Linked DNA regions of Lonchura striata. The protein of the gene in region 3 interacts with the protein of the main gene of each other region in a pairwise test. Links are inferred from orthologs where the notes say so. Each region holds a gene or a part of one and is shown on either strand. Other genes may lie near its edges.

The links.
Region 1: the proteins of GLRX3 (region 3) and MOXD1 interact in binary tests that used the Homo sapiens proteins (3 or more experiments, as listed by UniProt). The link is inferred for Lonchura striata from reciprocal best matches to the Homo sapiens genes GLRX3 and MOXD1.
Region 2: the proteins of GLRX3 (region 3) and MAP3K3 interact in a two-hybrid assay, tested with the Homo sapiens proteins (2 studies listed by BioGRID and IntAct). The link is inferred for Lonchura striata from reciprocal best matches to the Homo sapiens genes GLRX3 and MAP3K3.
Region 4: the proteins of GLRX3 (region 3) and TRIM36 interact in binary tests that used the Homo sapiens proteins (3 or more experiments, as listed by UniProt). The two-hybrid records come from large-scale screens. The link is inferred for Lonchura striata from reciprocal best matches to the Homo sapiens genes GLRX3 and TRIM36.

Annotation. Positions count from the first base shown.
Region 1 is NC_134605.1:59,392,095-59,399,984, reverse strand, and holds the start of MOXD1 (DBH-like monooxygenase protein 1), read right to left. Parts: upstream 3,090-7,890; 5' UTR 2,863-3,089; coding exon 2,578-2,862; exon of another isoform or gene 2,119-2,577; intron 1-2,118.
Region 2 is NC_134627.1:8,990,299-8,997,780, reverse strand, and holds the start of MAP3K3 (mitogen-activated protein kinase kinase kinase 3), read left to right. Parts: upstream 1-4,282; 5' UTR 4,283-4,404; coding exon 4,405-4,408; intron 4,409-7,482. UniProt on the Homo sapiens protein: Component of a protein kinase signal transduction cascade. Mediates activation of the NF-kappa-B, AP1 and DDIT3 transcriptional regulators.
Region 3 is NC_134609.1:31,596,636-31,604,053, reverse strand, and holds the start of GLRX3 (glutaredoxin-3), read right to left. Parts: upstream 3,111-7,418; 5' UTR 3,058-3,110; coding exon 2,990-3,057; intron 1-2,989. UniProt on the Homo sapiens protein: Together with BOLA2, acts as a cytosolic iron-sulfur (Fe-S) cluster assembly factor that facilitates [2Fe-2S] cluster insertion into a subset of cytosolic proteins.
Region 4 is NC_134642.1:60,471,194-60,478,837, reverse strand, and holds the start of TRIM36 (E3 ubiquitin-protein ligase TRIM36), read left to right. Parts: upstream 1-4,494; 5' UTR 4,495-4,572; coding exon 4,573-4,665; intron 4,666-7,644. UniProt on the Homo sapiens protein: E3 ubiquitin-protein ligase which mediates ubiquitination and subsequent proteasomal degradation of target proteins. Involved in chromosome segregation and cell cycle regulation. May play a role in the acrosome reaction and fertilization.

The DNA.
Region 1 (7,890 bases), on a different chromosome or scaffold from region 3:
TTCAAGGGTGCTATCTATGAAAAAATCTTTTTCAGTAGTAAATAATCTAAATTATGATGGTATACACCTAACACAGAATGTATTTTTAAAATATTAACTGTATTTATTTGTCTAGTAAAGGGAAGAATTGGATATTATTGAAACAACATCCTAGAACAATTTGTTCATTTTCTAGCAATCCCTGCTGCCTGACCAGAAAAAGCCTGTGGACAAATTTTGTTTATCATCTTTGTTTCTGGCTATTCCTTGTTGGTGCAAGTATGGAAAAATTTTAACTGAGCAACTTTTAAAAAACCTCGGTTCAGTTTTGAAAGAAACCATGCTACCTAGAATTGAAAAAGGAATGGGGATGGAGCAAGCCTCAAGTGGCAAGAAAGAGTACCAAAAATATTTCTTACCTACTCAAAAGCGCAACAAAATAACTCATAGCTCTTAGCATAACAATTTATGTGCTAAATTAGTGTTTCAGGAAAAATACCAGTAGGCTTCTATGGGCAGGCATTTGCTACAGTCTTTTTCTAATTGTAACAGAATGTTGGTGAACAAAACCTGTGGAAGAACAGAGTTAGCATGGGGCCATTTTTAAGGATGTTGAAAATCTGTGAAGGGTGCTGAAAGAGCCACAAAAGTGCTTCAAGTGGTGGGGAAAACGTCCTGTGATGCTAAAGAGTTCAATCTATTTATTTAACAAAAAAGAAAATGGAGCAGTGACTTGATTGTCTCGATTGCAGCATATAAATAACTTTATGAAGGCGGTATGCAGGGGGAGTAGAGCTTTTAATATTGTAGAGAAAATACATAGCTGAAAGCTAAGTCAAGACAAACTAATCCTGGCAATCAGGAACAGCAGAGACTTCTTATTGACACAAACTATCAAGGGAAGTGATGGATCATCCACCATTGGATGTCTTTACACTAGATTTGGATGCCTCTCAAAAAGACTTTTTTTACCCTAACAGGATCTGTGAACAAACCAGAAAAAAAAAGCTGGGGTTTCTTTTAATGGTTAATAGGTGTGTCTTCTGAATTGCAAAGCTTTTCAGAAAGCCTTTCATTCTGTGAGTGAAGAGCTCACTGCTGAATGAGCAGCCTAGAGTGGGTTTTTTTACTATTATTAGTCTTTTATTTATGCTTCAAGAAAAATTATCTTCATTTTGAAATATGGAGAAAGCAATATTCTGAAAATCACTGGTCCGCACTTAACGAAGACAAATATTTGCCTAAACTTCATACAGCAAATGAATGGAGGAAAGAAAAAGCAAAAGAAAATTTTAAAGGAAAACATTAATACTAAAAGATCGATTTTTCTGGAAAATTTTTGATTTTATAAAACCTTGACAAATAGTAGGGAGATCATATTATGCATTTTGTTTTCTTATGGTGAATTGTTATTCACTGAAAATTGAAAATCCATATTCTTATGGGAAAACCTCTTAAAATTTAAGCAGCAGCTTCAAAGATCAACTAGCTCTAACATAATGAAGACGGATGACTTCTCCTAGACCATACTCTAACAACCACTCTGCTCTTAAACTGCATCTCTGAGTTATTATTCAAGCACCTGGGGGTGACAACATGTCATTCCAGGCCTGATTGCCCTTTCGGTCACCAGTGAGACAAGCTGTCCCTGCTCCCCCCGTCCCAGAGCACCTCCTGCCAGCTGGATCTCAGGTTGATGAGAGGGGCTAAAGGTGTGGGCACCCTCCCCTCTCATGGCTCCTACTCCACCAGCCACCAGTGCCTCTGGGAGAGGATGACTTGCTGTAAGCACCAGCAAGGCCTCTGTTCCACACTCCTGTTCCCAGATGTAGCCCTGACAATATCTAGACTACTACAGAAACATCCCAAGAAAATTATACCCAATAGACCCGGGCAACCTCTGAGGTTGCTCCACCAGACCAAGGACATGTACCAGGAGTCCTCCCAGTGGTTACTATGTAAGTCCTTTCCAATATCTGGGTTAAAACACTTTCAGGTGAGGAGAGGAGGAACACCAAGAACAAGAGCAGCACCGGCTGTGTGCAGCAGAAGGGGACCTCAACAGGCTTGGAAGCTGGCGGGATGTTGCCCTCATGCCGCCGGGATTAGAAAGAGCAGGCTCAGGCGGCAGCAGGACGGCCAAGCTCCATCAGCTGTCGGCAGGGCGAGGAGGGGAAAGGTGCCACACCTCCCTGGGAGAGATTATGCCCTCCCATCCCTTTCCTCAGCGGGTTTAGGCTCAGCGGGCAGGCAGGAGAGAGTGCCCAAAGGAGAGAGAATAGGACTATCACATCTTCTGGATAAAGAGCAAAGAAATCTGACACCTCTAACGAAGTCTATGTAGAAGTTTAGAGAGAAGGTTGGCAAGGAGAGGATAGAAAAGAAGTATCTCCTCCAGGGGAAAGGAACGCAGAAGAATAGGGGTAACCCGAAGGGTGGAAGGAAGAAGTAAAGAGGTACGGGGATGCAGGGCAAGAAAGCTGCAGAAGAAACGTGAGGCAGGGAAAGGAGGGCGTCCCGACAGAAGGACAGCGCGGGGAAGGTGGGCGGACGAGGAGGACCCGGCTCGGCGGTCGAGGGGAAGGAGCAGGGCCTTACCTGCAGGTAGGGCTGGCCCCTCTCCACGCCCCCCACCACGATGTCGGCTGAGGCCATGCTGCCGCTGGCCGAGAGCCCGAAGCCCACGTAGCCGCGGGTGCGCACCTCCAGGCGGAGGGCGAGGGCGCTGCCGCGGCGGCCCCAGCGCAGGCGGTAGGCGCCCGCGCCGTCCAGCACCGCGCTGTGCGGGTAGCTCCGCATTGCCGCCCCGGCCCCGGCCCCGGCCCCGGCCCAGGCACACAGGAGCCCGCCCAGCACCAGCGCCCAGGGGCGCAGCCGCCGCATCCTCTCGCCGCGCACCAGCGGCCGCCTGTGCGTCTCGGCGTGTGCCCGGGCGCGGTGTGCGTGTGCGGGGGATGTGTGTCTGTGTCTGTGTGTCTGTGCGTGCGTGTGTGTGTGTGTGGGGAAGGGGGGCCGGGTGCCCCGGTCACCCCGCCCCCGCTGCGGGCGGCACCGCGCCGGCCCCGTCGGGGCAGCACGCCCTCGGCAGCGCTTTGTTCGCTCCCGCCCCGGCCCGGCGCTGCGGCCGCCCCGGCTCCCCCGCGCCGCCCGTCGGGGCCGCCGGACCCCGCCGCGCCGGGAGCACCTGCCGGGCGCTCGCCGCGGGGGTGAGCGCCGAGATGCTCCGAGTTCGCGTTAGCCGCCCGAAACCCCCCTCCTGACCGGGGAACCCGAAGGAGAGCGGTGGACGGGAGACCTCCCCGGCTTCCCGGCAACTCTTAACTCCGCTGGAAAAACTCCACGGGAGGAAGCCCGGAGGCAAACGAGCGCTTCCCCGCTCTCAGCCGCCTCTCCACTTAGTGCGAGCGCACGGTGCGGCGGACGGATGGAGCTAAGCAGGAGATCCCCCGTCGGGAGAGTTCTTTTTGCATTTTAAGTGGAAAACGAGGACGTCCCGAGGGGTTTGCAGTGAGACGGCTGCAAAAGCACATCTCAAAACCCCACGTCCCTTGACACCCCGGCCAGCCCGGCCATGCGGTCCCCGGCACTCCCGCAGCAGCAGCTGCCTTCCCTTCCCCTGCTCACAGCACCACCGCCGCGGCGGGGGCGAGAACAACGAGCAGAAAGATGCTTTTGGAGGAATGTTCCCCAGCCCTCTGCAAATCTGGATGGAAACAAAAAATAGCGTGGCAACCAAAACGGGGAAGTTAGGGACCACAAAACATCACATTGACCCTTGAAAACTCTAAGCTGTATGAAATAGGTTTTAAAAGGAAGTTATGCTATTTGAAATGTGTTTTCTTTGCATATAAATGAAAGAGAAAGAGCATGGTACTCAACCAAAATGGCATATTAATTCAGTAAAAACCAATCAAATTAGTACATAAAGGAAATTAATAATTCTTCCTTTTTTTCTTTTTTTTTTTTTTTTGGCATTTGCATGACAATATTTCACAAGTGTCACTGGGATTTCCAAAATGCAACCACCCACTGTGGTGTGAGGGCTGTATCAAACTACAAAACAACTTCTAGAAAAGAAAATGCTTATAAAAGGATAAGCACCAAAAATTACTTTCACCCAAGGCAACCATAAGCAACCCAACCCATAAGCAATTAGAGAAAATAAATAATTAAATACTGGTGAAATGAAAGCAATCTTTAGAGGGAATAGTTTAGTCGACCATTCTTGAAATTATAGCAGTAACTTCAAAGGTACAGACTCAAATTACTGACAAAACAGAAAATTGTGAGATGCTGAGTGTTTAGATTCTCTTCAAAATCGTTAACACCTGCAAGTGGATATGGATTAATTTAAGGAGAAATTGCAGGTGTGTGATAGGCCCTGTCAAGGCCAAGGATGTGACCTTGGCACCTAATTGGGGGCACTCAGCCTTTGTGAAGTTGTGTGCTAAAGGGGGGCTCCTTAGGATAGTTCCAAAAGTGCTTATTTATCTTTTCTGATGGCAAGGATGATGAAGGAATAAAGAGTGTTTCTTAAATTTAGTTTTTTCTTAATTTTCTAATAAGACTGTGCATTATGTTCTTAGGTGACAGAAACCTCTAAAGTTTCAGTTACATGGAGATTATAAATTTACCCTTCAAAACAATGATTGAATTACACATCTAGTACAAAATTGCTGCCTTTAAAGCACAACGGTGGTACCGAAGTCCAACTAGTGTTTCCCAGAGCATGCATTGTATAAGCACTTGTACAAAAGAGTGCAAAATGCTCACTTTGAAGTACTTCAGCATGTCTCAGTTTGGTTAGGGTGGTGTTGATGACATTTTAGGAGCCTGTACACAGCATGGGATGCTGTTGTTACTGAGATGGATGATGGACTATCCTACACAGCATGCTGTGCTGCACAGCCACAGAAATAGGATTTCCCAGCTAGTCTGGATGCCTTGAGGGAAGCAAAGCTGGAGATAGGTGTGCACTGCAGAGGCTGTCAGAGGAACAGCTGCACACCCCTCAGATGACCCTGCCCCCCGCGTGTCCAACCCCCTGCTCCTCTGTCTCTCCAACACACACAACCTTGTGATTGACTGGCATCTTCATTCTGCCAAAAGACAAAGCAGCAGGACCATCTAGTGCTTTGGACACACTGCAGTATGTCAGGCAAGACAAGCCAGAGTTTTGTTGTAGTGGGTCTGGTAGAAGAGGTAACACTCAGGGGAAACAGTTGTGCTATTTCTGGTGAGCTGCAGTGGCTGTGGAGGGTGGACAGTTCCACCCAGCCCATCATGGGAGCCCTGTGCTGGCAGAGCCAGTGGCTCAGGCATCCCTATTCCATGCCTCTGGAGCTACCACCAAATTGCTCCTGAGCTTTGCTTTGCCTATGTGGAGAAAATTGGCATTTTGGAGGCTGAGAGTTGGAACGGAAACAATACTTGAATTCTTGAAATCTCCTATGGGACTATATGATTTTGTCTGTGCAGAGCTCAAGGGTCAGTCTGCTGCTTTTCTGCAGCTCTGAAGCCTGTGCATCCCAAATCCTTGTAACTTTCTACCAGAACTTGGGGGCGATGTTATCCTGTCTTCCAGCAATACACCACACTCTGCAGCACTGCTCACCCCATCATGATGACAACATTTAGACCAGTAGAAGTGGAGGAATAGCAGTTCTATTGCTTTCCAATTTCCAGCAAATATTTTTCCATTAAAATAAATCATCCAGTTTTACAGAGCTGCACACTTGATCTACAAATACTGTGACAAAACCAACCTTTTTCAACTTGCTGCTATTTATAATCCCAAGAACAATACTAATGTAATAAAACTTTCCTAGTAGAAGAGGCACTTTGTGGGTAGGGCTGCACAATTCCCAAAACTCACATTAAAAGACTTTGGAAACTTCACCAGAAATTTTTTGCATCATTAGGAGAGCAAACACATGAAGAAAACACAGTCTAAATCATTCTAAATCTGATCTTGGCCTATAAGTAATGCTGCTGGAAGGAGCACAGAGAGACATCAGGTTACCACCTTCTCTGAACTGAACCTCCTCTTCCAGAGGAAGGCAGTCACCTAAACCCAGAGAGATTAAGTAAGTGTTTTTCTTCTTTAAAAACTCTTACTACCATTACTAAATATCAGCTTGTCCATTACTCAAATCATTGCATGACATGGTTCATATACTGAAGTACTGATTAAAAAGTCGCAGAATCATAGAATGGTCTATGTTAAAGATTGGCTAATTCTAATTTCCCTGCCATGGCCAGGCACACCTTCCATGAAACCAGGTTGCTCAAAGCCCCGTCCAACCTGGCCTTGAACACATCCAAGGATGGTCCATCCAAAGCTTCTCTGGGCAAGCTTTTCCAGTGCCTCACCATCCTCACAGGGAAGAATTTTTTCCTAATACTTAACCTAAACCTACTCTTTCATATTGAAGCCATTCTCCCTTGTCCTGTCACTAAGGATCACTGTAAGAGGTCTCTCTTTTTTTGCCTTGTAGGCTCCCTTGAGGTACTGGTAGGCCAAAATCAGGTTATCCCTAAGATATCTCTTCTCTAGGCTGAACAATCCCAATTCTCTCAGCTTTTTTTCTCATAGGAGAGGCTCTCCCTCCCTTGAATCAGCTTGGTGGCCTGCTCTGGACTTACTCAAACAGATTGATGTCCTTTTTGTGCTGAGGATCCCAGAGCTGGATGCAGCTCTCCAGGTGGGGTCTCACCAGAGCAGACAGAAGGAAGGAATCCCCTCCCTCACCCTGCTGGCCACGCTGCTTTTGAGACAGCCCAGGATACAACTGGATTTCTGGGCTGTGAGTGCACATTGCTGGGTCATGTCCAGCCTCTCACCCACCAGCACCCTCAAGTCCTTCCCGGCAGGGCAGCTCTCTGTCTGTTCATTCCCCAAACTGTGGTGATACCTGGCGCTGCCTCAAGCCAGAAACAGCATCCTGCACTTGGAATTGTTAAACCACATAAGATTCCCCTCAACCCACTTAAACTTGCCCAGATCCCTCCAGATGACATCCTGTTTTTCAGGTGTGTTCTACTCTACAGTTCCTTAATGAGTCAATTAATTATGAAGATTTGGCCTGATCACGGGTAGTGACCAAACACCTGGTTTATCCCTGATGCTGTATCCTGGCATTGAGGTGCTCTTGCTAGACAGCAGCCCAGCAAGAGGTGTGTGACCTGTCCCTTTGCAGGCAGCAGGATTTCTCAAAGGCATAAAAAGGTTTGGTTTCAACCTATTTCTAATGTACCCTGTGGCATGCTTTGAGCTGGCTTTTCTCTTATGCAATTTAGCTTCCATGCAGGAAATTTATTACTATTGAACATTGATTTTATACTGATAATTAATATGAAGTCTTATAAAAAATTTTTGTAAAGTAGATAGCCAATAGCTACATCATCTTTCTAATAGAAGAATTCTGCTCTCATCTGTGAAATGTAAATTAATCACCTTTTATTTACCTTTTTAATGTATTTTATCATTGGAATGACCTCCATGAATCCAGATTTTGATATCAATGCAATGCAAAATGGTTAGTGAAGCACCTTGCAGACCCAGCTGGGAGCTTTTACAGTGGGGTAATGCCTATGCAGAATAAAACCAGCTTCACTGACAATCCAGTTTGTTTTCAATGTGGATAGAGAACTGAAAGCAGGAAAGGTTTTGGGTTTAACTGGATGTTGTCTTTGGAATGCTGAGCCAGCAGGATGGGTTCCTAGGGAACATTACTGCCAGCACAGGCAGAAGGAGTTAGAAAACTTTTCTATCTTGATCCAAGTCCATTGGTTCAAGAAGAGCAAGGGGGACACATTCCACCCATGCTTCTGTCAGCGTCAAACATTTCCTCAGGCACATATGATAACCTGGTTGCTCTTAAACATATTTTAAAGCATGTATCTTGAAGA
Region 2 (7,482 bases), on a different chromosome or scaffold from region 3:
TAGCTTGTGCAAATTGGAGCAGAGCAAAAAGTGGTGGACTGGTGGATAATGGGTGAAGCAGGTTGCCTGTCAGTGTGGCAAAACAAGTGCCATAAAATGATGTAGAGGAACGTAGGTGGAAAAAGACAAATATTATGGAACAACCAACATCTGGCACAGCTGTCTTGCTCTGTGACCGTGGGAAAGTCCCTGCTCTGGTAAACAAGCTGTAAGTGGCAAGCACATAATTAATCAGTAATCAGTAAAGGGCTCGAAAATACTTGAAAGAAGCCCTCCGTGGTAACACAATGCACAGCAATAGCTGTAGAAAAAAAGTGATCTCTGAGATTATTCTGGGGCCTGTGACTGGGAGAAGCATTTAATTTAGAGCTTTTTCACTCGTGCTGTTTTAGAAACAGTCCAGACTGTCAGCTCAGAGGAAGTAATGATCTAAAAGCATATAATATTTTTAACGTTCTTCCTCCCCTTCCTTCTCTGATTTTGCCATTCCAAAGGCAGAGCAGCTTCTGGTTTTTAAGCAGCTTCAGAGCCCCCTCTGCTGGAATGCTGCTGGCAGCCAGGCCCAGCCGTGGCAGCAGGAAGCTCCGGGGCACACCTGCTTCTCCCGGCCGAGAACGGCTGCTGCAGGCGTTTTACAGGAGTTCCAGGTGATTCATGTCTCTGCTGGGGGGGGAGATGCATCTGGGCCCATATATATCCTGCCATGCTGTCCTACAGCTGGGTAATGGTGATGGTGTTCCATCCTCTTTGTTTTCAAAGCTGAGAACACAACAAGAAACTTTTAGGAGAGACAAGAACTGCCTGGGATTAATGAGATTACTCTTACATCTGCTGAAAACAGTGCAAGACCCTTTCTTGCATCCTTTGAAGATCGGATCCCTCATCCCTGGCAGTGTCCCAGGCCAGGCTGGACAGGGCTTGGAGCAACCTGGGGACAGTGAAAGATGTCCCTGCCGTGGCAGGGGGTGGCATGGATGGGCTTTAAGGTCCTTCCAACCCAAACCATTGAAGGATTCTCCAGTTCTGTTTACAGAGTTTCTCCTCCTTGCTCCCTTCTGTGGCTGTGGAGTCCAAGATGTAGAATAAGGAAGTTTTGGCATGGGACAAGCAGGCTCAGCCTGGAGCCTGCTCAGCTCCCCAGGAAGGATGTGTCTACCTAAACAAGAAGGGAAGCAGGAAGGAAAGAAGAAACAGCACATCTGATAGCAAGGAAAAGGGGCTCTTTGAGTCAGGTATGCTTCAGAAAATGCCCCAAAGGTCTACTCCAGATTTCCTGTGTAACTTCTAACAAGTCGCTGACTTTCTGTACAATGCCCTTAAGTCCCTAAAATAGGGATTGCACTTCCTTTTCTTAGTTGATGCTGTGTGACAGCATTGAACTATTAGGCCTTATAAAGTTCTTTTAAAACAAATGGGCTGACTGGGAACACAGAGTCACAGACTGGAGAGTCTTTGTGAATATCTTTACTGATGGTTTTATATTAAATGGCATCAGACAATCTGAATAAATTCAAGAATTAAGTGTGTTCTGCAGGTGCTGTTTACAGGAGTGAAGCTTCTCTGCTGAAAGCTGCAGCTTTGGAAGGATGTGGACAATTCAGGTGGAAAACCACGGAATATCAACTACTGTAAAACAACCTGATCCTCATCAGGAACTGCAATGGCAGGACAAAAAGAACTGGGTTCAGACTGATAGAGAGAAGGATTCAATGGGATATTTCCTCTCTGTGGGGGTGGGCAGGCCCTGGCACAGTTGCCCAGAGCAGCCCCTGGATCCCTGGCAGTGCACAAGGCCAGGCTGGATGGGGCTTGGAGCAGCCTGGGACAGTGGAAGGTGTCCCTGCCATGCCAGGGTGGCACTGGGGGGTCTTTAAGGCCCGTTCCAACCCAAACCCTTCTGGGGTTCTGTGATTATGCACAAAACCAGTACAGTATTAAGTACACAGTAAAAGTCAGAAAGGAATTATTTTTTTTTCTCAAGTTACACAAAAAAGGGGCGCTGATTCTGGTAGAAATTTGGATTCCAGTTCAGGAAAGATTTAGCAGCTTGGTGAGGGGAAAAAAAAAGGTGTGAGGGTCTGTAGTGGTCAAAAAAAGTCCTGATGGCACTTGCATGTAGATAGTGATGCGAGAATGTCTGTAAAATGGGGAAACCACAAATCAAGAAATAAAATTGTTAGTTTACACATTAGGCTTGACAGGTGGGTGAAGTGATGAGCTGTTAAGGACAAATCATTCTATTTTCAATTTGGTAAAAGATGCGGGGAAGCTTCAGTGAAATGCAGATGCCCTGGGCAGTTGGAGGTGGGAAGAGCGAGTTCCACCAGAGTGTGTCTTCTCCCATCTGCCAGGAGCTTCTGGCTCCTGTCACAAGCTGCCACTTGCCACTCTACTATCTTTTGGACTTGGGAAAGCAAGTTTCTGCACAAAGGACATGGAATCATTCTCATTTAGCAGGCCAAGCTAGGCAAAAATAGCAAATGGTGAGGTGATGATGGACTGGTTTAAAATCAGGGCTGGTGCAGTGGGGAATTGATACTAAATTTCTGCCTCCCGGGGTATGGGTGGGCTCTTCCCTCTCTTAGAAAAGCCTTTTTATAATGATCCTGGCACAAAGAGCCAGCATTAAAATCAAATTTGGTGATGAACAAAAGTGGGAGGCTTCAGTAATATGAGGGAACTGAGTATCTTGGAGATTGGATGACTGAAGAGTGAGAAATAGAGATGAGATTAAATGTGGCAGCAGAGAGTGCAAGGATGTGAATTTAGGGACAAGGAGGAGACTGTGGAGGATACCAAGAGTATTTTATTGGAAATTAGTAAGGAAAGGAAACTGAGATTTAGTGGTTGATAAAAGATAGTGATAAGCCATCATGAAGCTGTGAAACAGCATGTCAAAAAGTGGTTCCAAGATCAATAATGATGCTGTTGAATGAGAGAGAAATTCAAACTGGAACAGGGACAAAAAGCTACCAGCTTGATACCACAAATACAAGGCTTGTATTAAGAAGGGAAAGTGGCTGTGTCTGTGGATCCCTTTTCCTATTTCCGTGTCTACCTGGTATGATACTCTAAGAGCTTTTTACTACTTCGACAGTGAAAATAAATAAAAATTTTAAATTACATTACAGATAATGTTGTCATGTTTTGACTAAGTCCCAAATTCCTCCTGATGTGTAGGTTCAGATTCCTGCACTTGATCACACTTTTGAGCAATTTCCCTTTCCAGCCTAGTTTTCTTCTCCGGGTTCCGTGACCCCTTTGACATTGCTGCTGTGCCGTTTGTGAGCAGAGCCCTGCCAGGCGTTTGGCAGATTGAGAAGCAGCAGCTGAAACATCTGCTCCAGGTGGGTTTCCCAGCAGCAGGGCGGCCCTGACCACAACAGGGAGTCGGGTTGGGCTTCTTTTCAAAACAACAAACCCCTTCTGCCGTTCCTTCGTGGGAAGGACACTGAAAATTCCATCCTGCAGGTGGGACAGACACAAGCTGGGAGGGGGCAGGCTGGGGGTTGCTTTAAAAGATTTGATTCATTTAAACACAGCCTGTGGCAGAGGGGAGAACGAGATGATCTTTAAGGTCCCTTCCAAGCCAAAACATTCACGATTCAGAGAATTCCTGGCTTAGGCTACATGATGACAGCACACTGTGCTGTGTGAACAGTTACCCGGTAGTTGCATCAGACGCAGTCCAGGATGACTTTTTAATTATAATTTATTAGTTAATTTTAAGAGAACATTTATTCTCGTTAGCCCTGCGGCCTGGTTCGCAGAGGTGTTTCAGTGCAGGTGCAGCACGGGCAGAACAAAATTCCATTTTTCCTTTCGGCCCCCGTGGGCGGAGCCGCGCCGCCGTCCGTCACTCTGACTGACAGCCGCGTGGGGGGCGTGGTCTGTGAGGCCCCGCCTCCTGACGGCCGGGGGGCGTGGCTCCGCCGCGGCGCGTCGGACCCCGTGATTGACAGCCGGCTCCGCGGGGAGGCGGGGCGGGCGGCGCGGCTGCTCGCGCGCCCATTGGCCAGCAGCGCCGTCGGGCGGGCGCCGCGTCGGCGCTGATTGGCGGGCGGCGGCGGGTGCCGCTGTGATTGGCAGGAGGCGGCGGGTGCGCGGCGGCCGCCGAGCGGTTTGTTTTGCGGGCGGCGGCGGCGCGGCCGGCCCGCACGGACCGGGCACCGGGCAGCACCGGGCCGCACCGGGCTCCGGGCCGCACCGGGCACCGGGCCGCACCGCAGCGCCCGCCCGCCGCTCCCGGAGCGCGGCCGCCGGCAGCAGGCGGCGGCGCGGGGCCTGGGAATGTGGCGGCGGCGGCGGCTGTGAGCCCTCCCCTCGGCCCGGCCGCCATGGAGCCGCGGCGGTGACAGCGCCGTTCCGCAGCGCCCGCCGCGAGCGGGGCCGCCGCCCGCGGACATGGGTGAGCAGCGGCGGAGAAGCCCCGGGGGCCGGGGCCGCGTCACGGGCCGGGGCCGCTGCGGGCGGGACGGGGCGCGGGGCTCGGCCGGGCCCCGCTCCGGGCGCCGCCGGGGGGGAGCGGTGCATTTGCTAGGATTTGGCCGAAGTGGCAAAAGTCGGGTCTTGCCGAAGGTGCGGTGCCCCGCCGAGCGCGGGGCTCTCCGCTCCCGACGCGGCTCTTACGGGACGGGAGGTGTGCTCAGGCTGACTTGGAGACATTTCTAGTGTTACGTGCAGCTTGGGAGTCCATCGCGAAAGATTTGCCTTTATGGAACCCCCCCCGAGTTCTCATTTGCCATTCTTAGCCCAGACGGCCACATGTAAAAACAAGCAACGGAGTTGGAAGAACTCTTTTTCAAGAGGAAAAAGTTCTTATGAGGAGCTGCCATGACTGAATTTGATTGATTAAGTAAAATTAATTTGGATTTGAAGTGTATGTCCTGTATAAAGAACTGCTTAGGGAGGGGGTCTTGTGCTTCCTAATTTCTTTTTCAGCTTAAAGAGAGGTGCTAGAATTAAACTTTTGATTGCTCTAAACCAGAACTTAACTTATACTTGCTTATTGGCAAGGAAATTCCTGCTTTTCTAAGTCTGGAGTTTCATGGTTTCATGGGCTACAACTTAAACGTTTCTTCCCAACAACCAAGTTTAGTTTTCTGAGACTCTCCTTCATTTAGTCTGTATGCATAATTAGCTTTTATACTTTAAATTCAAAAAGCGTTGCAAATGTTATTCTACAACTACTTCAATATCTCTTTACTCTGTTTTGATTTGTAAATACAACAAATTCATGCAAATCCATCACTAGATTTCTCTGCTACAAAGAGGAATAGTGTAATGCACTCTGTTTAGAGTAGCAGGGTCCTTCTATATTAAAATGGTTTAGAAGTAGGAACTTGGATTTCCATGAAAGTGTCTTCCAATAGCAATTGGACCTGTGTTTGTAAACATGTGAGGGCAGAATGAAAAAATACAATTTCATGGACCGTTCCACCATAATCTGGTTCCATAACCCACCTGAAGGACGCGTGGGGTGATTGGTGGCAGAGTTTGCAGGAGCTCCAGTGGTTCAGCCACTCACCTGGAGCGGTTCCTGGGGTTTGTTTCCCTCTGGACACTCCTTGGCAGGCTGGAGAAGGGGGATCTGCGGCCCTGAGCTGTGCGGGGTGAGCTCTGCGGGTTTGGGGGCGCAGGCCCTGCTCCCTGCAGCCTTCCCTGCTCCGCTGGCTTTTCCTGCCTGTGTCACTTCCTTCCCTTGGCTCACCCAGCGACAGTGCGGAGGGAGCGTGGCTGAGCCCGTGGGCAGGACAGCCTCAAACCCCACAGACCAGGACAGCCTCAAACCCCACAGCCCAGGACAGCCTCAAACCCCACAGCCCAGGACAGCCTCAAACCCCACAGCCCAGGATAGTTTCAAACCCCACAGCCTGGGACAGCCTCAAACCCCACACCCAGGATAGTTTCAAACCCCACAGCCCGGGACAGCCTCAAACCCCACAGCCCAGGATAGTTTCAAACCCCACAGCCCAGGACAGCCTCAAACCCCACAGCCCAGGACAGCCTCAAACCCCACAGCCCAGGACAGCCTCAAACCCCACAGCTCAGGATAGTTTCAAACCCCACAGCCCAGGAATGCCTCAAACCCCACAGCCCAGGATAGTTTCAAACCCCACAGCTCAGGATAGTTTCAAACCCCACAGCCCAGGACAGCCTCAAACCCCACAGCCCAGGCCTTTCCCCTGACCTGTGAATGGAACAGGGACCCTCAATGCATCCTGCGAGCATAAGCCTCGTAGAGCTCTCTGTTTTTTTCTCTCACTCTACAAGCCAGGTCCTTTGGGATTTCCTGAAGCTTGCACACAGCAGCATTTTGGTACCACTAAAACTGCCCATGGCAAAGGACTCAAAATGAAACTCTTTTGAAGGCTTTTTTGAGGCCTTTAACATAGACACAATTTGTCTAAAATTTCCTTATTGTTCCCGGATCTGCCAATCACTCGCCCAAACCAGCTTTGCTGTTGTGGTGGTAGATAACAAATACACAGATGTGGTCACTTTCTCTTTTACACCAAAGTGGCATCATGTATCCCACTGTGACACCATATAAAACATGATCCAGATAAGGGGGGTTCAGACATATGCAGATACTTTTGCGCTTCTAACTTTGTGATTATTTTTTTCCTTTTTCTAAACTGTTTCCATTTCTGACTTGTTCAGACCTGTGTAATAAACCACGGATTGGTTGAAGTAAATGCTTTGTGGAGAGGAACAACTTTCTCTGTGAGCAGCAGTTCGCTTTTATCGAAGTTATAAAAATCCTTGAGTGTAGTTTTTAAAACATGAAAAGCATTTCCTGGACAACATCTTTCCCGCACAAAGCAGAACTGTGTTTCCCAGACCGACTGGAGACCAGGCAAAACAGGGTCTCTCAGTACTCCAAAAATTGCTTCATTTTCATTTGTAGCAGCTTCTGCATTGTGCAATTAATGTAATGCTGCTCCACGTGCTGCTCCAAGTCTGTCTATGAGAATCCTCTGTTGGGATGGAACTAAAGAAGTACTCATACTTCTCAGCATTGAATCCATCACTCTGCTGTCCTCACCAGATACAATTTTTCCCTGCACAAGCTCAGATCAGGTTTGACTTTATCCTTTTAAGAGATAAATATTCTGTCATGTCCTACCTCATCAACATAGGGGTGAATTACAGGATGTATGGTTTAGTAGTAGGGAACAAATAGCTTAGTGTAAAACTACTAGAAAAGGTATAATAAGATTCAAACTCACCTGAAGTTGTTCCATGCCCTTTGTTAGAACATTGACTGTTCCCATATTATGAAGATAAATAATATTTTGGTGTTAGAATGACAGCAGTGAGTAAGATACAGACCTTGCAGGGCACTAACTGGGGTAGAACACCTGCAGCCAGCCATTGCAACCATTGATCTTTGTTTTCCAGTAATGATACTGTTTAGAGGAGAATTCTTCTTCCCAGACATATTCTTTGATGGACTTGATTTCTTGTCATCAGCCCTCA
Region 3 (7,418 bases):
TATATATTTATATTTTATATATTTTATAGAAATACTTTACGTATTTTATTCCTAAATGATGGAAATTCATTGTAACAGCTGCATGGGCAGCACAATGTCGCTGCTGGAGCAGTTCCTGTGACCTGATCACACACCCTGGATGCTTTCACAAACTTGGTTTTCCAGTGAAATTCTACAAAATTCTGGCAGAAAAACAACACAACTTCTCTTTTTTTCCCCCTAATCCTCAGTTTAAGTCTGTGCCCACAGCAGGACACACCTGGGCCCAGGGATGGACCTCAGGACAGAGGACAAATCATCACAGGATTATTTCATCCTCTTCCCACCAGAGTCTGGTCGTTCCTTAACAACATCCAGCTGCAATATATTCATTTTTATATTCAGGAAGAACATATTTTAAATTCATTTGCACGAGGGGTTGGTTTTGGAGTTGTTTTGGTTTTGTGTTTTTAAAATTCATTCACAGAACAATTCAGATTTTGCAACTGAACTGCTGGCTGAGCACTTCAATTTCACCTTAAAAAAAACAGAGTACTTGAAAACATTAAGAAAGATAAAAAATAAAGACTTAGCAAAATGAAGCGTTTAAGTAATTCTAAACAAAGTGTTCCCTGCATTCACTCAAGGTTAAAAAAAAAGAGCTTCACTATTAAACAGGGCAGGGACAAAAAGGTTATGACAAATGCCCAATTTTCTCTTTAAATATCAAGATTTACAGTGATTCTACAACACAAACTTACTGATAACTCAATGCAAGAAATGATAATTTTCTGAAACAAGAAATCCTGTGAAACTCATATGTAATTACAAATGCTGTTTTCAGAGGAAGGTTTATCAGGACTATCAGTTCACCTTAAGTCCAAGAACATGGATAAAATAATCAACTCCTTCAGAGAGAAAACCAAATTATGTTCTGTGACAAAGGCAATGAGAAAATTACTGGTGGGTCTTTTTTAGATAACCCTAAAATATTGTGTTTGTTCCTGAAGCCATTTTCCTTTGGGCACATGAGTTTCTTCTGCAATAAACCCACAAAATAACCCAGCTGAAGGACAATTCCAGGAGGAAAAGTCCTGCTGCAAGTCTGGAAGAAATTCTGTTCCTTTTTCCCAGCACCATCATTTAACAGCATTTCCTTCTGCTGTCTCTAAGAACTGATGCTGCTATTCCACCACTCTTTCAATCACCTGTAAGTCTGTAATTGCAGAGCTGCTTACTGCAGCTCTTCCCTCCCAAAGTTAAAGATGTGCATGGAATATGGAATAAAAGCAGTGGGATTGCTCAGGACAGGCTGGATGGGGCTGGAGCAGCCTGGCATGGTGCAGGGTGTCCCTGGATGGGTTTGCAGGTCCCAGAGCGGGCTGGGATTGTGGAAAAGCAGAGCCCTGCCATTAATCACAGAGCACAAATCCAGATTAATGAGAACCTGGCAGGAGATGAATAATTCAGGGCCACTTCTGTGTCAGAGAACACCCGAATGTTGCTGCTCCCACTGAAGTGCCACTGCTGTTCCCACTGAAATTTCCCTGCTGTCCCCAGTGAAGTGTCACTGCTGTTCCCACTGAAATTTCCCTGCCGTTCCCACTGAAATTTCCCTGCTGTTCCCACTGAAATTTCCCTGCTGCTCCCACTGAAATTTCCCTGCTGTTCCCACTGAAATTTCCCTGCTGCTCCCACTGAAATTTCCCTGCTGTTCCCACAGAAATTTCACTGCTGTTCCCACTGAAGTGTCACTGCCGTTCCCACTGAAATTTCCCTGCTGTTCCCACTGCAGTGTCCTGGTGGTTTTGGTGACACCTTCTGTGGCTGGAGGCCAATCCCAGCTGGCAGGGCAGCTCTGGTTTATAGGATTTTCCAGCCGACTTGGCCCCAAATTCCCTGCGGCAGGAGCTGCTGCAGGGCGGCACCTCCGCCTGCTGAGCCAGGGGAACAGGGAGCTGGGAAAGTCCGAGCCTAAACCCGAGACTAAATCCAGCCTAAACCCAAGACAAAGCCCGGCCAGAACCTGGCCTAAGACAGGCCAGAACCCGGCCTAAGCCCGAGACAAAGCCCGGCCAGAACCCGGCCAAAGCCAGGCCAGAACTCGGCCTAAGCCCGAGACAAAGCCCGGCCAGAACCCGGCCAAAGCCAGGCCAGAACCCGGCCTAAGCCCGGCCAGAACCCGGCCAGAACCCGGCCTAAGCCCAGCCAGAACCCGGCCAAAGCCCGGCCAGAACCCGGCCAAAGCCCGGCCTAAGCCAGGCCAGAACCCGGCCAGAACCCGGCCTAAGCCCGGCCAGAACCCGGCCTAAGCCCGGCCAAAGCCCAGCCAGAACCCGGCCTAAGCCCGGCCAGAACCCGGCCAAAGCCCGGCCTAAGCCAGGCCAGAACCCAGCCCAAGCCCGGCCTTTGCGCAGTTTGGGGCTCGGTTTTTCTCCATTTGGGTTTTTTTTCTCTTCCCCTCGCAGATTTCCCAGAGCGCTGCGGCAGCACCGGCCCCTGCCGAGCTGTGCCCTGCGGGGAGCCGGGAGGGGACACCGGGATGGGACACCGGGATGGGGACACCGGGATGGGACACCGGGATGGGGACACCGGGATGGGGACACCGGGATGGGGACAGCGGGATGGGACCCAAAGAGGGGACACCGGGATGGGACACCGGGATGGGACACCGGGATTGGGACACCGGGATTGGGACAGCGGGATGGGGACAGCGGGATGGGGACACCGGGATGGGACCCAAAGAGGGGACACCGGGATCGGGACAGCGGGATGGGGACAGCGGGATCGGGACACCGGGATGGGACACCGGGATGGGACACCGGGATGGGACACCGGGATGGGACACCGGGATGGCACCGAGGGACGGGACCCAAAGAGGGGACACCGGAAGGCGGAACCCGGGATGGCAATGAGGGAGGTGACACCGGGATGGCGCCGCGGGCCGGCAGAGCGGGCCGGGAGCGCCGGCAGGGCGCACAGGAGGGCGAGCCCCGCGGTGTCCCCTCACCTGTCCGGGCAGTGCAGCAGCTTGTGGAACTGCTCGGCCGAGCCCGCGGCCGCCACCGCGCCCGCCATGGCCGGGCCGAGCCTGCGACACGTGAGCGCCTGGGCGGGGCACCGCCGGTCACGTGGCGCCGCCCGCGTCACGTGCGTCCGCTCGCGCGCTTCCGCCCGCCTCACGTGTGCTCCCCGCGTCACGTGTGCGCAGTGTCACGTGTACGCCGTGTTACGTGCGCCTCCCGTGTCCCTGTCCCCGTGTCCCCCGTGTCCCCCAGTCCCTGTCCCCTGTGTCCCCATGTCCCTGTCCCCCGTGTCCCTGTCCCCGTGTCCCTGTCCCCCAGTCCCTGTCCCCGTGTCCCCGTGTCCCCTGTGTCCCTGTCCCCTGTGTCCCCGTGTCCCTGTCCCCATGTCCCTGTCCCCTGTGTCCCCATGTCCCTGTCCCCTGTGTCCCCATGTCCCTGTCCCCATGTCTCTGTCCCCGTGTCCCTGTCCCCGTGTCCCTGTCCCCATGTCCCTGTCCCCCAGTCCCTGGCCCTGTGTCCCTGTCCCTGTCCCCATGTCCCTGTCCTGATGTCCCTGTCCCCATGTCCCTGTCCCCATGTCCCTGTCCCCTGTGTCCCCTGTCCCCATGTCCCTGTCCCCTAGTCCCTGTCCCCGTGTCCCCTGTCCCCATGTCCGTGTCCCCCTGTCCCTGTCCCCGTGTCCCTGTCACATTCGGTGGCAGGGCACCCGGGGCTGTTGTCGGGGTGAAACGAGGTTCTCGCCCCTGGAGCCCAGAAACCCAGAACCAGCACTGCCCCAGCCATGGGAAGGGAACAGCGAATCTTTATTTTGGCCTGTCCATTAATCCTCCCAATGCACAAAGAGAAAAATGCATCCAAAGCACTCTGATCTCTGTGCTGTTACAAAGAAAGACACAAAAATTCATCCAAAGCACTCTGATCTCTGTGCTGTTACAAAGAAAGACAAAAAAATTCATCCAAAGCACTCTGATCTCTGTGCTGTTACAAAGAAAGACACAAAAATTCATCCAAAGCACTCTGATCTCTGTGCTGTTACAAAGAAAGACACAAAAATTCATCCAAAGCACTCTGTCTGTGCTGTTACAAAGAAAGAGACAGAAATTGTTGGAACTCAAAATGTCCCTCAGACATTTTTGGAGGTTCCAGGCCTTGGTCAGAAGCATTTGAGACCCTGGCAGGCAGCTGCAAACAGCTGTGATTTTGGGTTTGAGCCATGGGATGAGTTACCAACTTTGGAGGTGGAACAAGCAGTCACAAAGGGTTAGATGGGACAGTAAAAGTAGTTACAAAACAGAAGGGAAAATTCTTAGTATTGTACAGGGGGGTTTTAGCACATGTACAAGGGGGTTTTTACTTTGTACAAGGGGGTCAGAAGTTCTAAGATGGAGGAAAGTGGGCTGATCCTGTTCTTCCTCCTTCTTTTTCCTCACCTCCATGTTCTTGGTGATGTTGGCACTCACAGATTGGTTTAGAGTAGAAAAACACTTTGTAATATAGGTAGTAGGTATTGGGGGGAAACTATAAACATGTAATACGTAATATATAATATAAAAGAGAGCAGCAGCCCTGGGCTGGGGGAGAGAAGAAGAAGACAGCAGCCAGAGAGGATGTCAGGGTGTGTGTGTGCCTCTGCCTGAGCTCTGACCAAACCACAGCAGCCCCAGAAGAAAATCTTTGAGATAACTTGCAATAAACTGCCTTGAGACTGAACAACAGAGACTGCTGAGCCTTTCTTTGGGGGCAGGGCTGGAGGAGAGACTTTTCCAGCACACGAGACCCCAGAGCAAGCCGGGGGTCTCACAAGAAATTCATCCAAAGCACTCTGATCTCTGTGCTGTTACAAATTTGGTCATGAAACACCCTGGAATTTCACTGGACAAATTTCATCATTTGACACATTAATCAACAATGTTTTACCTGACTTCTCAAAAAGCAAAATAAATGCAAAATAAACTATTAATATCTCCATTTATTCTCTTTTCTTACAGGCTAAAATTGAAAACAAATAAAAAGATATAAAACTACACATTATCCCTAAATACATTCTAGTTGATATAAATTGTGTGAGTGGAGAAAAAAAAGTCTAATTCTATTTATTTTCTCTGACATTTTAACCTGAAACCCACTGGAATAGGCAGAAATTCCAGCCTTTAGGAAAAGCACGTTTGGGATTTTATCCCATTTTGCTGATTTTCAGAGCTTTTACAAATTATTGTTCATCTCACACAAAAGAAGGAAAAAACGTGGGGGTTTGTTTTCCCCCCCATAAAATATTTGTTTTGAAGGAAATAATTTTGTTTAAATCCTGAATTCTTGTGCTACCAATAGGATTGCCCAATTTTGGATTCCAGCTCATATCAAATAAAATCCCAGGTGGAACAGCAGGGAAAACACGTGGCTGGGGCACCACTCAAGGCCATGAGCGAGGCTGGACCAGGGAATTCCACAAACAAAAACCTGTTTTCCAATGGGAAATCCTTTTTCCCTTGGAGTTCTCCGAAACAGGATTTTGCTGTGGACATTCCCTCAATTGTCCATGGACAATTCCAGCAAATTCCTGCTGCTGCTGCCGCATTCACTTGTGGTTTTGGGATCATTTTTCCCTCTCCCAGTCCCATTCCTGGTGAGCTCCCAGCGAACAGAGGTGAATTTTGGCTGTGAACTTCTGACTATTCCACTGGGCTTCTGTCAGGTTAAAATGTCAGAGAAAATAAATAGAATTAGACTTTCTTTTCTCCACTCACACAATTTATATCAACTAGAATGTATTCAGGGATAATGCGTAGTTTTATATCTTCTTATTTGTTTTCTATTTTACCCTATAGGAAAAGACAATAAATTGAGATAGTTTATTTTGCATTCATTTGCTTTTTTGAGAATTCAGGTAAAACATTGTTGATTAATGTGTCAAATGATGAAATTTATCCAGTGAAATTCCAGGCTGCTTCATGACCAAATTTGTGACAGCACAGAGATCAGAGCGCTTTGGATGAATTTTTGTGTCTTTCTGCAGCAGGAGGGTCTGGGTCCAGACATTATGGGATGGAGACTGAGGCTCCATGCCACGGTTCTGCTCTGGGAATGAGGCAGATGGAACCCCTGGAAATAAATCTCTTCCCTCTGTGGCCGATGTCAGCTCCAGCTCTGCCCCATAAATCAAACCCTGAGCCTTGAGAGAGCTTCCCGAGACCTTTTCCAGCTTCCTGGGGAAGGGAAGGCGAGGATTGCTCCAAATGGATGGGCCCGGGGAGACGGAGAGGAGCTAAATCTGCCTCCCCTCAGGCTGTATTTCTGGGATCCCATATGGAGCCTTGGCAGGAGCCAAGGGAAGCCTCAAGGACTCGGGATGGAGCAGGCAGGGGGGCAAATTAACCTGGCAAGTGCCAGGTTGTTGGAACTCAGAATGTCCCTCAGACATTTTTGGATGTTCTGGGTCCAGGTCAGAAGCATTTGAGACCCTGGCAGGCAGCTGCAAACAGCTGTGATTTTGGGTTTGAGCCATGGAATGAGTTACCAACCTTGCAGGAAGAACAAGGAGTCACAAAAGTTTAGATATTATAGTAGAAGTAGTCACAAAGTAGAGGGAAGAATATTTAATGCTGTACAGGAGGGTTTTGGTTTTGTACATGGGGGTCAGAGGTTTTCAGATGGATTTGGGATTTGGGCCTGTCCTGTCCTGCCTCTTTCTTCTTCCTCACCTCCATGTTCTTGGTGATGCTGGCACTCATGGATTGGTTTAGAGTAGAAAATCACCATTTAATATAGGTAATGGGCATTGTGAAAAACTGTGAACATGTAACACGTAATGTACCATATAAAAGATAGAAAATCACCATTTAATATAGGTAATAGGCATTGGGAAAAAACTGTAACCATGTAACACGTAATGTACCATATAAAAGATAGAAAATCACCATTTAATATAGGTAATAGGCACTGGGGAAAACTGTAAACATGTAACACGTAATGTACCATATAAAAGATAGAAAAGCACCATTTAATATAGGTAATGGGCATTGGGATAAACTGTAACCATGTCACACGTAATGTACCATATAAATATAGAAAAGCACCATTTAATATAGGTAATAGGCATTGGGAAAAACTGTAACCATGTAACACGTAATGTCCCATATAAAAGATAGAAAATCACCATTTAATATAGGTAATAGGCATTGGGGAAAAACTGTAACCATGTAACACGTAATGTACCATATAAAAGATAGAAAATCACCATTTAATATAGGTAATGGGCATTGGGATAAACTGTAACCATGTCACACGTAATGTACCATATAAATATAGAAAAGCACCATTTAATATAGGTAATAGGCATTGGGAAAAACTGTAACCATGTAACACGTAATGTCCCATATAAAAGATAGAAAATCACCATTTAATATAGGTAATAGG
Region 4 (7,644 bases), on a different chromosome or scaffold from region 3:
TCTTCTGCCAGTGACAGCTCACATCTACATCACTCCCTGCAGAAGGAAGGAGTTCATATAAAATTCATAAACTATTCACATGGATTCTCTTTCATATTACTCAAGCTTGATGCAGGCCTCTGAAGGCTGTTCTGAGAATAAAAGCAGGTCACAGTCTTTATCAGAGACATGCAAACTCACATTTCAGAGTTGTTTCTTCCATTATTTCAAATGTTTACTCACATGTACAATTAGAGAGTGAAGCATTTAATGCTGAATTCTAGCACAGTTTTCTACTATCTTTAACATAAAATGGAAGTACTCTTTCTCTCCTCTATACCTAGTTATTTGTGCTAGCCCTTAACATACCACCACCTGCAACTGGTTTCAAACACCCTTTAAGTAGATTTCCTCAGGTGATGATGGCCAGCAAGTTGAAGTGTATTTACAGGAATGCAATAGGAGAAGAACAACCTCACTATGTTGCTAGACATGTGTGCTGAGGGTGTGTGCTTGACTGGATTCCCTGTGCAATGGAAATGGGAAAATACCTCACAGTCCTAGGGGAACAGAAAGACCAAAGCATCTGAGTAAGCTTCACTGCTCTGATTTAGTTTAGAAGCCAACTAAGACAGAGAAGGAGATCAAAGAGAAAATCTAGAGCTGTTGTCATTGTCTTGGGAGAATCAACATAATTCACAGGTCAAGAAAAACAAATTTCCTTTGTATTTTAATTTGTGTACTAACATGCCACAACAGAACCCTGTGCTCTATGACATTTCAGGATTGAAATACAGGAACAGTTTTTCCACTGATATAAAACTATACCAAATAATTTATATAATTTTTTTTTTGAGATCTGCTTCAAGTTTAAGTAACAGAAAACAAATATGATCCTATATGTTTCACTTTAACATAATATGACACACTCTTAGATAATTTAATGACAATAGAAGGTTTGAATTGATTTTCAGACATCCTGGTTCCTTAGAAAGGAACTGATGTAAAACATGAAACAAAAGAAGGAAAACTATGAAAAGCAATTTCATATCTTGTATTTATGTGGAACAGGTGAGGAGCTCCCAGCTGTTTTCAACATAGAGCCCACCTCAGTAAAGGTTGTGTAAAACACAGCCATAAAGTTACCAAGAGGGGTGAGAGCCCCTGGGCCACCAGCTGCAATGTGAAGCTTTCCCATCTGTCTACAGTCTTCCAAGTGCACATTCCCCTGTCAGCCTTCTGCCACTCAAGGCAAAGGCTGGAAAAAACTGTCTGCTACCCAAGGAGAAGTCAACAGGAGCCCTCAGAATGGCTACAGGAATCTATATCTTCTGCAAAGGATAGTCCCAAATTCCTAGCTAGTCTGGATGTATGGAGAGAGCTTGTGTAAATGACGCTGAACTGTCCACAGGGCTCTGCTCAGGCTTGCTGGACTTGAAGAAAAACACTTTTCTGCAGGGCTGATGGCAGAAAGCATTGTCATGCAGTGCCCAGGATCATCCTGGCTAGAGCTGCTTGGGAGGATGTCATTGCTGAAGCTGTGAAATCAATGCAAAAGTGGTTTGTGGCTTCCTCATGCTTAATTATCACTGGCAGCCATCTGAACCTGGAGTGCTAACACAGCTAATCCTGAAACAAAACCACTCCAGGAAGGGATCATGAAAGAACCATCAGCTTCTTCCATCTTCTCCTGTATCCTTCTTACCCTGGCTGATTTCATGACTTAAGCTACATTTACATCTCTTTACATTGACATTTACATTTATCAATTTATGGAAGTGGGACATGAGGAGGTGAAGGAAGTGAAACAAAGAATCATCCTTTTTTGTCCTATGTCCAAGTCCTTGGTCATAACCTACAAGGTTTGGCAGCAATAGAGAAAAAAACACACAACCCAAATCTGACAGCTGAAAAATAAAACCATCATGAGACAACAGCCAGAAATTCAGAGCAGTTCACAATACTAGCATGGTTTGTGGCTAAAGAACACAAGACAGAACTCTTGATTTGGAGCAGATCCATGCATGGGAAGAAATTCTTGTCTCACATACTTTGGCTGGTGGCTGTTGGGGGTTGCTTAGCCAAGACATGACAAAGCTGCAGTGAGATTCAGGTGCAGGCATGCCCTTCCACTGAAAGGGTTCCAGTAGAGTGAACAGCTTGTGCTGTGGAGTACAAAGGGTTGTAAATTCCCTGGCTTTTCACACAGCCTGTCATTAAGGAGCTGTAGGGTCAAAGGTATGTTTGCTCTTGGTGCTGGTTATCATTGGGAGAGTCACACTGATACAGTGGTACAACCTTCCTTGACGCAGGAGCCGCTGTCGCTGAGGCCACTGCCAGCATGGTTTCCTGCAGATGGCTGCTGGACGTGAGCAGCTTGGGACAAGCAAGGTACTCCTTCAGGCAGTCCCTTGTCCCAGCCTTGGCCAGCCCTGCTCTCTACCAGCACTCCACACTGAGACAAAGAAACTACAGCAGTGAAAGTTTCGTATGTGACTGCCGTTTGGTGAGCTGAAATCAAACCAGGAAGCAAAATATCTCACGCTGAGTTCAATTATATATGGAGGACTTCTCATCTGTGTGGGTGATGACAGCTGACTGTCCCCAGTGCCACTGAACATTTTTTATTATTGGGCTGTTTGCACAAAAGCAAAAGGTGCACTGGAAGCCTGTCTATATCATAATAATGAGCTATTTGAATAATGAGTAATTTGATATATATAATTGTACAATATCTAGTAACAGAAAAGTCTCAAGCTATTCATGAGTCCCGTTTACTGAGAAAGGAAGGATATACTATTTCAGTGAGTAACCCATAGAGAGAATTTGAGATAACATTACTACTATATCAATATCTTAGGAAATGCAGCCTCTGAGGGGATACATTATACTGTTATAAAATACTCTTTGGTGTGTTTTCACCACCCAGGGGTGATGTGCCCCACGGGCTACCTGATACCTACAGCGTAAGAAGGGTTTGTCACCTTCCACCTCTCAGCTTGGAAGAGGACTGGTGAGACAGCAGCGAGCTGCCCATTCACCTGTGCTTCTCCCCCAGGTCTTGCAGGCAGCTGGGACCTTTGTGTTTGGGGAAGTTTGACTCCAGAACAGGAAGAAATGAGCCACTGCTGGCTGCAGTTCCTCTACCAGAAGCAAGGTGTATATATAAGGCATGGAGTGGGGACAGGCATGGAGCAGAAATGTGATGTCTGCCACATGTCAAACACCATTCCCCAGCTGTCCTGTGGAACCCCGATGCCCACTGTGTCTGGGGGGCTGTGCAGTGCCTCACCTGATAACTGATCTTCCTGCCTGGTGTGAACATTTCAGTGGAATTGATGGCTGCCCTCATCAAGCAGAGGAGGGTACTTGGGTTACTGGGACCAGTTTTTCTGCCACAGTTGTAATACAGGCATGTTGTATCCATCTCATCCTTGGAAGTTGTATCAGGCCTGGGATGAAGAAAAGGAGATGATAGGAAGATTTCCTCATGTTTGAGTTACCCCACAAGCACATCAGCAATCAAGTGCAAACACGTGAAAGAGATCATATATGCAATTATGCACATTAGTAGGTGTTCTCTGTTTAGACACAATTTGTAATTTAAACAAAAGCTTAGAATTTAAGAAAACCAGATGGACCCTGGGTACAAATGCATTATGCTACTCCTCAGCATACATCCACTTCAATCTGTGCTTTGAAAGGAGGCATGCCCACCTTGAGTGTTGCCGTGGGGGGCACGCACAGGCACCAGCCCAATCCCACAGGCTCGGTGATTAACACAGCATCACTCCGTTTCTATGAGACCACCAGCAGGTGTAACTCTGTCGGCTTTAAGGCAGCCACTCTCGCGGCCGCGGCGCCTGAGCAGAGGCGGTGCTCCCGGGCACCTCCAGGTGCTCCAAGCAAATTTCCCTGTCAGTCCTGCCACGATGCTCGGGGGTGCGCCGCTCCCAGGAGCATCCCGAGCCCCGTGAGCGGGGCGGCGGGCCGAGCATCGGTCGCAGCACGGCGGCCCTGCCCCCGGAGAGCGCCGGGAGCGGGACCGGGAGCGGGACCGGGAGCGGGACCGGAGCGGGACCGGAGCGGGAGCGGGACCGGAGCGGGAGCGGGACCGGGAGCGGGACCGGGAGCGGGAGCGGAGCGGGAGCGGGACCGGGAGCGGGAGCGGAGCGGGAGCGGCTGCACGGCGGTGGCGGAGGCAGCGCAGGGGCGGTGATCCCGCCTGGAGCGGGCCATGGAGGCAGCCGCGGACAGCCCCCGGTTCGCCTACATCTTGGAGCTGCTGAAGCGGGACAAGGTAGGGACGGCGAGCGGCGCCGCGACACGGCGGGGCGGGCAGAGACGGCTCCCTTCGCAAGTGCTTTGTCGGACTTTTTCAGGGGAATGTGGGGGCACGAGTGACTCGTCTTTACTAATGTATTCTGGAGATTCGACTAATGCTTGCCACACACTTCCGAGCCATCAGGGGAAAATTTCAAAGATAATTTCCACGCGAAGTGTCCCCCAGGCCAGCACAGCTGGGCGGGCTCTGTCGCGTTTGCAGCCCACCCCTGCTCCGTGCGGGAATGCCCCGCTCCAGCCGGGAATGGGATGCGCCCTGCCCGGGGGGCTGCTGCTGCTAGCCGCCGGCTGCGGGCAACGCTGGAGAGAGAACTGTCTTCCCCAGGCACCGATTCAGAGATGGTAAGTATTTTGAGGAAAACTTGCACGCGCATTTCCTAGGGGAAAAGAAAAAAGTAAAAGGACGAAATCCAACTTTTGTACTGTTGATTTGCTGATATGTGTGATAACCAAGGAGCACCAAAGGTTCAGGCTTAGTTTTTTTTTTTGTTTTTTTTTTTTTTTTGTTTTGTTTTTTTTTTTTTTTTTTTGTTTGTTTGTTTTTTTTTTTTCCCCAAAAAATGAAACAGCCAAAATATTTTTAAACTTAAAAATAATTGTGGAAAACAATAGGGCTGTCAGAAATATTGCTTGTTCCAGACTCATCCTGATGGCTTTCCAGCATATCTCCAAAGGCTGCATTCACAGCCAGTTCTTTGTGCACATCCCTCTCCCTCTCCCTCTCCTCCACTACCTCTTCTAAATGTCCTGGAAGAATCTTTAGACCAGGTGAATGAGGAGCTTCCTGGGTGATTTTCTGCTTCTCCTTGCCTGAGTACAATTATGCCAGGACTTTAAAGGAAAATTCAGTCTTGTTCTCTCCATTTATACACCAAAGAAAATCATGAAGTGTTTCAGGACAGATATACTCCTTGTGCCTGGAATGTCCCTGTAATGGGGTGCTACATCTGTCTCTTATCCCACAGTCAAGCAATTCGTACTTAATTCAGACACCCTCTGCAAGAGCATATGGCTCGATAGGCAGCAGAGTTGGCACAGTAGTGTGAAATATGCATGTTTATTACAAACAGTGCTGTTGTTTATACATAGACAATGACATTGCCAAGTCCCATCATCACAGACATTTGACGTACATGAAGAAAAGGGGAACAACACCAGTTGTGTGACTGCCACAGACTTCCCATAGTGGCGATCACTGCTTGAGCTTCTCGCTCTGAGACCTATTGCTCTCCACATCTTCCTTTTGCCTTTTTTGAACCTTCAGACCAGGGCTTTAGATTACAGCCTCTTTGTAATTTATTGATGTTATCCAGCAGCTTGGAGGTGTTCTGCTGGGATAATTAAACTCCCTTCTCAGATGACATAAATCATGCCAGCAAAAGGACTCTTCTGCATGGTAAACTGTATTTGCTTTGGGTCAGGGTATTGCTATTTAGAGGTTTCAGCACTCCAGTCTTCCTGTTCCCACTTCCCACTATCAAAGCTTTTTCAATAAAGCCTGGAAGCATTAACATTCTTTGAGTTAACTGCTAAGCATCTGGCTTTCACTGAACAAAGACCTATTAGAAGATCAGGATGCAATAAGACACTTGTTCCCCCACCTCTGAATATGCAGGGTCCCTGCAGGTATGATGCATCAGCTCTTCAACCCTGGGCACGTGACCCCTCTTGGCAAGCATGCTATTTTTCCACTTAGCTGCCAACCTCTGTCAGACCTCTCAAACAGGGCAAATCATTATATATCACTTTTCCCCGGGGGAATGTCACTTCAAAAACCTGTTATCTCTTTTAATCATCTGTACTCATTATTGTCCTGTGACCCGCCTTCACACATGCGACTTGCACATAGTATCTAGAACAGAAAATGCTTGAATGCTAGAAATGCTAGAACAGAAAATGTAGCACTTTTAGTTCCATTAAAACACTCTTTGTGTAATCCATATACCCACAACATCTGTTTAGGCTCACTACAATACTCTCTGAGATACTCTGGGCCTCCATGGCACCTGTCACAAATGTCACAGTAGCATCTGAGAGCTCCAAAATACCCCTGAGAGGCAGATTAACAACTAACTGCATTTTGTATCAGAGGCACTGGTGCAGAAGGAGATTGTGTGACTTTCTTTCAGAACTCTGAAATCTCAGTTCAAACCACAGCAAGGACACTCATCTGTCTCAAAATGATGTATCATTCCAGAGATAAACTCAGGCTTCTTCCAATCCTGCCTCTTCCCCACCCCTCCCCCAAATTATTCCTTTTATTTACTTTTGCAGTAGTCAAAACACACACACTTCTAACCCAGCTATTCACCCAAACTCCAGTTTATATTGTTTTACTTTCATAGGTGTGTGTTTTCTTCTTTTGAAATGCATATGATTCTCCTGAAGTATTAACCCCAAAGAATTTTTAGATATTATAAAGAAACAATCATATCTGATGGGCTAAATTATACCAATACTTGCCATCTGTTCCATAAAGCCTTTTGGAACATTTTCTGTAAGCAGAATACAATCAATAAGCTGATATAAACCAATGTGAGTTTCAGAGGGAAACTAACAACACTGTCCCTGAGACCCCTTATTCAATTGAAGTAAGGAGGATTTTTGCATGCTCTATTTTTTAATCAGGGTCATCACTCTCTTTTTTTTTCCTCACTTGTTCCCTTTGTTTTACCATCTATTCCTGCTCTCCACATGGTTTGCAGAAACTGATAGTTTGTGGTTTATAAGAAACAGCTTTAAAAGTTATTATCTAGAAGAAGCATTTAGAGAAATAGACACTACTGAAAACAAGCCCTAAACCCCATATGATATGAACATGAGAAATATATAAAAACTATTTTAAGAGCATTTCTAATTCTGCATGCTCTCTACCTGCAACCTGCATGTGACACTGATTTCTGGACCTGACTTCTGCCTGGTTTCATGTAATGATTAATATAAGATTCTCTTGTGGTAGCATTTCAGCTTTTGTCCAGGTGACAAGAAGAGGTAGAGCTATACAGGGTTTCAAACTGAAATCACGATAAGGAGCTGGAGAGGAGAAATGCAACATTTGCTAGTGGCTGTGGTGGCTGGCAGGTGGCTCTGGGCTCACTGACTCAGCCAAACTGGAGCTCTGTTCCTCATGCATGCTAAAGAAGATAAGGCTTTACATATTTCTTGCTTATGTGAAAGAAAGTCCTTCTTTAGGGTTTGGGCTCCTATGAGGAGAATTTTCCTCTAACAGCAATTTTCTTCCTTTTACAGAATATTCAAAAGCATACCAGAATATACGTATATTGTGAGGGGTATTTGCACAAAGTAGTGACTCTGGTTGTA